Linked DNA regions of Macaca fascicularis. The protein of the gene in region 1 purifies or fractionates together with the protein of each later gene. This does not show direct contact. Links are inferred from orthologs where the notes say so. Each region holds a gene or a part of one and is shown in the gene's direction. Other genes may lie near its edges.

Region 1 (4,023 bases):
TCAACAATAGCTAGTACTTATTTGAGTCACCTTGATTTTCCCTCCTCTTGAGAACTTTCTCTAACCTGTTTAGGCTGTAGTCATGCCTCCTTTCTCTGAACTCTCACAATTATTGCCTAGATCTCGTTTGGTAATTAATCATGTCCTACTTACTGCCTGTGTCATCTCTTGTATTGTTTTCTTAAAATATTTACACTTTTTTTTCGGTTGTCATTTATCTTTCCAGCTGTCATTTTCTTTAACTATTTACATCTCTTACTGTTACTCATCTTTCCAGCAGTCCTGGCATTCCATTACGGTGAAAGCTCTCTGAGGCAGGAACCTTTTCTCAGACTTCTTCGAGTCTTCCACAGCACCCCACATTTGACACACATCTGCTACTTCGCAAATGTGTGCTGCCTTGGTTAAATTTTTAGAAGCTGAACTTTTAGTAAAGCTACTATTTTTGAACTCAGAGAAATACCTACCATCCACTAAACAGCTGTACCGAAGTTTCGGTGACAGGGAACCTAAGTTCACTTGTTGCATCTGGCAGCCTCAAACCATGAACCCTTACTGCTGCCCTGAGCGTCCTCCTCGCGAAGCCGAGGACTAGCGCGCTGCTGCACCTTGGAGAGCTCTTTCGGACAGGTACGGAGGGGAGGGCGGCGGAGAGGGCTGGCACCAGCAGCGCGGCGCCCCTCGGAGCAGAGTGATGGGAGAGACCTGTCGCACCTCTCCGGGATGAGCGCCTCGGAGGATGCGAATTAGCCTGCGCTCAGGGCGCCTTGGGGGATAAGCGCTGTCCGAGTACAGGCTTGGGTGATGGCTAGTGGGGTCCGGGTCGACATCTTCCCTTCCCGCTCCCGGACTTCTGCACACACGCGCTGCTCAGCGCAGCAGTCTTTGCCCGGCGCCTTCCTGCGGGACACCCAGCGAGAGGGATGACCGGGCGGCGGAGGCAGAGGCGCACGCTCCCGGGCGCGGGCGAACTTGCGCACCTGGCACCTGCCACACAGCGAAAGCACCGGCCGGCGAGCGGAGGGGCGCCGCAGCCGCCCCCTCTGCCTGGAGCGGACCGAGACCAGCACGCTCCCGCGGGCCGGCAGCGCCGCGTAGAGAGTGGGTGGGCAGGCAAGGGAGGGGAAGGGAGAGGAAGGAGGGAGGGAGGGAGAGGGCGAGGCGCGTTCCCGCGGCGGGGGCGCGCTCTCGCGCGGGCTGCCGGGATCGCTCGCCGCCGCTGTGGTAATGTCCGCCATGTTGGCCATGGCGCAGGGAGCGGATCGGGCGGGCGAGCGGCGGATCTAGTGTGTGGAAGCGGCCGCGGGCGGCGGGGGGCTGTTTTCGGGCGGGGTGGGCGCCCATGCTGTGGCCGGGGGCAGTGAGGAGGAGGAGGAGCGGGCCGGCCGCGCTGCACTGAGGAAGGAGGTGGAGGAGGCGGCGGGAGTCCTCCCCCCCTCCCCGCCCGCCCCGCCGCCGCCGCCCGGGCTGTTCCTGTAAGGCGGGGAGACAATGAGTAAACTCTCCTTCCGAGCGCGGGCGCTGGACGCCGCCAAGCCGCTGCCTATCTACCGCGGCAAGGACATGCCTGATCTCAACGACTGCGTCTCCATCAACCGGGCCGTGCCCCAGATGCCCACCGGGATGGAGAAGGAGGAGGAATCGGTAGGGACTCGAGTGTTTATTACCCCCCCTTCCCTCCTCCCCCCTCCCCTTTGTCAGTCGGGCCTCGCCATTCACAGAGCGCTTTACGCTCGCTGGAGGGCGCCGCTGCTGCTCTAACGCACGGGACTCTACGCCGGCGGAGTAGCGTAAACCCTCTCGGCTGGCGTAGCGCCCGCCCGCGGCCGCCATGTTGTTGCGTCCCAGTGTTGTGATTAGCTCGCAGCGCTGCTTACGCTGCCGTAAGGGGGCCTTGCCGTAAGCGGCGGCCGGGAATGGCGCAGGGGATGCGCTGGCCGCACTTGGCGTACGGTCTCTGTTTACCTTCCCACCTCCCTCCCCCAGGCGCGGGGCTAATTAATGGCGGGGTGTTATTTGGCTAGGCAAGATGATTATTTTTTCCACTTTTAAATTTTGTATTGGGTTCTCTTTGAAATGACTGTAGAAGGGCGCTTTCAAAACAAACATCTTCCTCCCAGCAGTGTAATCATCCTGGCTTCCCCGCCCGCGACGGTGCAGCGGGATGAGGCGGTACAGCACTGCGGCGGGGGAGGGCGGGGACCACGACTACCGACCGGGTAGTAGCGTCCGAGAGCCGCCCGCCGGCCAGTTCAGCCGACCCGACCCGAGCCGGGCGCGGGGTGGACGGGCTCTGACAGCTTCGCCGAGACGGCCGTGCTCCGTGCGCAGTGTTAGAGAGGAGCCGGGGATGCCCCGGAGCGAGCTGCCGGCGTAGCGTTGTCCTCGAGAATTGTCATTGCGAGGTGATCCTTAGAAGTTGAGGACTTAGTGCATCTAAATTGGCAGTTGTAATTTTGATAATACAGCACCTTTTGGGAAAACTGCTGCTTTTTCTCCGATGGGTTAAATTTTGCAGACGGTTGAATATCTGGCTTAACAGAGAGTGTTTATGACTCGAGTGGTGTTACTTGCTTGCGAAGTTCATAGTAACTGCACCCTCAAGAATTTCTTCAATGAACCTGCAGTCCCGCCTTATTGTCAACCTCGGGTGTGTGTGGATTGGTTCTCTTGCTTCTGTGGCTGTCAAAAGGAAGCTCGAGGTTTCCGTGATTGGTTTTCTCTTTTGACTATTAATATTGCAGGAAATGCTTTTATGCCTTTGATTGGCTGGTCGAGTTCTGACCTCACTGTGTTACCCTGTTATTACTACTTTGCTCTGATTTAATCACATTTCTCTTTGATTACTTGAAAGTCTTATATTTTCAGTAGAAAATGAATATGGCCGTAGTATCAGGATGAACTTAACTGTGTGTGTATACAAACGTATATGTAATACATATATATACATGCACATATACATATGTGTGTGCATAGATATAAATATATATCATCAAAACAGCATTTATCTCTAAGGTTTAGAGCTGTGAGAACTTTTTTTTGTATGTGAGAACTCTTTTATTTGTTTCAAACTTGACTCAGTTTTCCATGGGAAGGAAAATTAAGGTAAAATTATGTTATGTACAATAGTTAATTGCATTGAACCCTAATAAGCACAACTTTGGATATTTTTGCTATTTTGTGGGTCTTGATCCAAAAGAAAGATGGTCTTAAAAGTACCAGTATTGTGTGTAATTACTTGGATCCTATTATTTTAGAACTTGAGTCAAGAAATCTATTCTAGGCCAGGCGCGGTGGCTCACGCCTGTAATCCCAGCACTTCGGGAGGCCGAGGCTGGCGGATCATGAGGTCAGGAGTTCGAGACGAGCCTGGCCAGTGTGGTGAAACTCCGTCTCTACTAAAAATTAGTCGGGCGCGGTGGTGCGCGCCTGTTGTTCCAGCTACTCGGGAGGCTGAGGCAGAAGAATTGCCTGAACTCGGGAGGCAGAAGTTGCAGTGAGCAGAGATCATGCCACTGCACTTCAGGCCTGGGCGACAGAGCGAGACTCCATCTCAAAAATAAGGAAATCTGTTCTAGAGTGAACAGTTAACTCCTGGAAGATATATTACTTTTTGCAATCACCAACATATATGGTCCTTAGTATGCCGCATATGTTTTGGTATTTTATCTTAATTTAGTAAGATTACTTACAGAGTAACTTTTTCATGCTTCATTAAAAATATAAAAGTGCTTAACTCGTGTTGCAATTTTTTTGTTTGTTTGTTTTTTGAGATGGAATTTCCCTGTTGTCGCCGAGGCTGGATTGGCGTGATCTCGGCTCACTGCAACCTCTGCCAACTGGGTTCAAGCGACTTTCCTGCCTCAGCCCCGCTGAGTAGCTGAGATTATAGGAGCCCACTGCCTCGCCCAGCTAATTTTTGTATTTTTAGTAGAGTTGGGGTTTCACCATATTGGCCAGGCTGGTCTCAAACTCTTGACCTCAGGTGATCACCCGCCTTGGCCTCCCAAAGTTCTGGGATTA
Region 2 (3,500 bases), on another chromosome or scaffold:
AATGTTGGAATTGAGGATAAGGAAGTGTAGTGCCGCATCAAGCAGCAGCTTTCACTCATGGTGCCGCCTCCTCTTATTTTTTTCTATTAGTCAGCAAACAGTTTGTTAGAAAGTTTTCTCACTAAGCTTTAGTTACACAAATAAGTATTTGGGGTTTAGAAACCTGTCATCCATTGCAGGCAAACTGATATCAATATCAGATGGGCTATAAAACCTTTTGTTTGTTTTTACGTTTGCCTTGATAAATTATCATATTCTGGCTCTGTTGTTTCATCGTATAGCTTGTTGGTCTTTTTGAACTTAAGATCATCTGTTAGTGGTATATTCTTTGGTAGTGCTTATTGTGCAGAAACAGCTGATGAGCTTCATTGGTCTAGCTTGCTTTGTAGTAGGTTGTGTTCATGCCACGAAGGATGGATAATTACTAACACTTTTGAGAATAAGTATAAGGTTCTGCCACAAGGATCATACACACTCTCTAGTCTCAAAAGCCTCTTTTCCTTAAGATGTGGTAATTCTAGAGCGGGAAAAGCAGCACTGGTTTCTGCTTTAAATCTCACCATTTTCAGGGACTACTGTAAGTAGTAAGAGTTGGACATTACTCCTTGCGTTTTTATCTCTTGAGTATGTAGTATATTAGGAAAAAGTCTGAAGTTTTTGCTGCATGTGATTTTGGTTTGGCTCTTGAGAATTGAATCTACTCAATAACAGCTTAAATCCCACATCATTTTACATAGGAATACTGTGTGGCTTATTATCTTTTAGTTTTGATTTTGTGAAGCGTAATTTTTTATTGCTCTTACTTGGTTTATTCTATCATCTGGAAGAAAACAGACATAACTCAGTCACAAAGATAAGGATCCTTCCACTTTTTTTTTTTTTTGAGACAGGATCTTGCTCTGTCTCCCAGGCTGGAGTGCAGTGGTGTAATGTTGGCTCGCCACAACCTCCGCCTCCCGAGTTCAAGTGATCCTCCTGCTTCAGCCTCCCAAGTAGTGGGATTACAGGCATGCACCACTACTCACTGCTAATTTTTATATTTTTAGTAGAGACAGAGTTTCGCCATGTTGGCCAGGCTGGTCTTGATCTCCTGACCTCAAGTGATCCACCTGCCTCAGCCTCCCAAAGTGCTGGGATTACAGGCATGAGCCACTGTACCCTGCTGATCCTTCAACTTTCAATATGATTAATGTACTATACTTGATTCTTCAATATTTGCAGAGTTCAGAGTATTTTTTTTTTGGTTGGCAAAAGCATTATATGTGTCTTGAAAGGATTATATTTGTATAGGAAACTATAGCTGAAGGGTGTGATACTTTTTTTTTTTTTTTAAGATAAGGTCTCACTTTATTGCCCAGCCTGGAGCACTGTGGTGCAATCATAGCTCACTGCAGCCTTGAACCCCTGTGCTCAAGCAAATCTCCCACCTCAGACTCTGGCATTGCCCAGCTAATTTTTTTTATTTTTTGTAGAGATGGGTCTCACTCTGTTGCCCAGGCTGTTCTTAAACTCCTGGCCTGAAACCATCCTCATTCTTCTGCCTTGGCATCCCAAGGTGCTGGGATTACAGGCATAAGCCACCATGCCCAGCCTGATAAATTTGTTTCAGAAGAAATCAGATTGCTTAAGAATGTGCAGGCAGTAAGCTTTGAATTTGGAAGTACTTTTTAGAACAAGAATTGTGTTTTCTAAAAGAGTGAATTGTGAACTAAAAAGTTAGGGGAGCACATTTCATACCAATAACATCCTACACCCAGATAATACATTTAAACTGTTTTACTTTGATTTCTCCAACCAGTGTTTGGGCTTATATGAGCTATGAAATGCTACCCTAAAAGTAGTGTTTTAAGATGCTTTCTTTCTTCCTTTGGGTTTTTACCCCATCTCAAGCAGAGATGTTCTTGAAAGAAATTAGCCAGCTGTTCTTAAAGCTCTCTGTAATTCATTTTACTTTGTCTTGTTTTAAATTTGAGAGTCAGAACTAGTATTACCAGACTCTCAGAGAGTAGAAACAATCTCCCCCAACACACACACTCACTCTCTCTTCCTTGTTTTCAGAAATACAAACTTTGCATAATTGGTTCTCTTTTCAGAGTGTCCTGTGCAGCACAGCTTTCCTAGTTATATAATGCACTTTTCTTACCACACATGTAAGTGAAAGCTTACTTTAGTCTGACTTGATATTTAGAGAGGAAGATGCCAATTGGGAAGAAGCCTGTCAGTTTGTCGAGCCTGCCCATGACAGGTGGGGTGCGGAGGAGCTTCTCTGGTGACGAAGAGTTGACTCCTCCTCCATATCGAACCCTTCCAGCACAGACAGCCCCGGAGGCCTTCCCACCTCCCAGCACTAGCCGAGAGTTCAGTCCCAGCCTCAAAACAGGTAATTAGTCACATCAGCATCTCAGGTACTTCAGAGGGTAAAAGTACTGGGTAGGGTGGTGGGAGACAAAGCATGGTCTGGCATGACAGATGCTGACTCATTGGATTTTTTTTCTTTTTCTTTCAACTAAAGAATTCATTTCACTAGTCCTTAGTAGTCACTTCACTAAGACCAAACGTCAGGGAAGGATTTTTACTTTGTTATAAAATAGTTCCGAGCTTCAAATAAGGGTAGTTGGAATTGTGAGACAACTTGGAATATTTCATGGTTTTTTAACATTCCGCATTGCAGAATTGTATGTGACTTGACCTGGGAACAAAGTGTGTCATTAGGGATAAGTCCGATTAAAAAGACAGAAAAGGCTTTGTTCATAACATTTCATAGTGTCTCATTCATGGAAAGGATGTGTTTTCAGTTCCAGTTTAATTTTAGTTTTGGCAGTAACATTGATCACAATCTTAGTTGAATAACAAATTTGGAAATTGAATACCTGCGTAATTTTTTTATTTCCATAAGTTCATGATTATGTATGTATAGTGATTAAGTAGTCAGTGGCATTTGATTTGAGTTTAATTGGTTAGGCCAAGGTAGTAGATTATAAGGAAGACTACAGAAGGCTTTGCCCTTTTTAATTACTAAGAACAAGCATGGTATTATCATAGGGTATGAGGACTTCACTTAGGCATGATGAACTTCAGGCCTGAGTACAGATCAGATCATACAGCTTCAAAGCCAAAGTTATACCTGCTTTGGCATGTGTTCTGCTATATGCTAACTATTGCTTTTAGACTAAATTGTTTTCTCTAATCAGCATTCTTTAAAATGTCTTGTATGTTGAAAACCTAGGTGAGACTTTTGTTACCTAGCTCTGTTTTCTTCTTCTTCTGTTTGCTAATATTTTTGCACCTATGGGGGTTTTCTTGTTTGTTTCCGTTGTTGGTTGTTTGGGGGTTTTCTTTGCCATTTTAGGATACGTTCTTTAGCTTTTCCCTCCTTCACAATGTATTAGGCCACCTTGCCCCCTTCCCACTCTGTTTCTCTGAAGATCACTGTGATATTCTTACATCCAGAGGAAATTACACTACTACTTTTGTATGAAAAACTAATTAGGATTGTAAAT

The links.
Region 2: the proteins of EPC2 (region 1) and MBTD1 purify together in Homo sapiens (affinity purification with mass spectrometry; 3 studies listed by BioGRID and IntAct, with this or other methods). This does not show direct contact. The link is inferred for Macaca fascicularis from reciprocal best matches to the Homo sapiens genes EPC2 and MBTD1.

What each region holds. Positions count from the first base shown.
Region 1 is NC_088386.1:44,214,531-44,218,553, forward strand, and holds the start of EPC2 (enhancer of polycomb homolog 2), read left to right. Parts: upstream 1-1,223; 5' UTR 1,224-1,491; coding exon 1,492-1,644; intron 1,645-2,190; exon of another isoform or gene 2,191-2,405; intron 2,406-4,023. UniProt on the Homo sapiens protein: May play a role in transcription or DNA repair.
Region 2 is NC_088390.1:55,519,166-55,522,665, forward strand, and holds part of MBTD1 (MBT domain-containing protein 1), read left to right. Parts: intron 1-2,188; coding exon 2,189-2,380; intron 2,381-3,500. UniProt on the Homo sapiens protein: Chromatin reader component of the NuA4 histone acetyltransferase complex, a multiprotein complex involved in transcriptional activation of select genes principally by acetylation of nucleosomal histones H4 and H2A.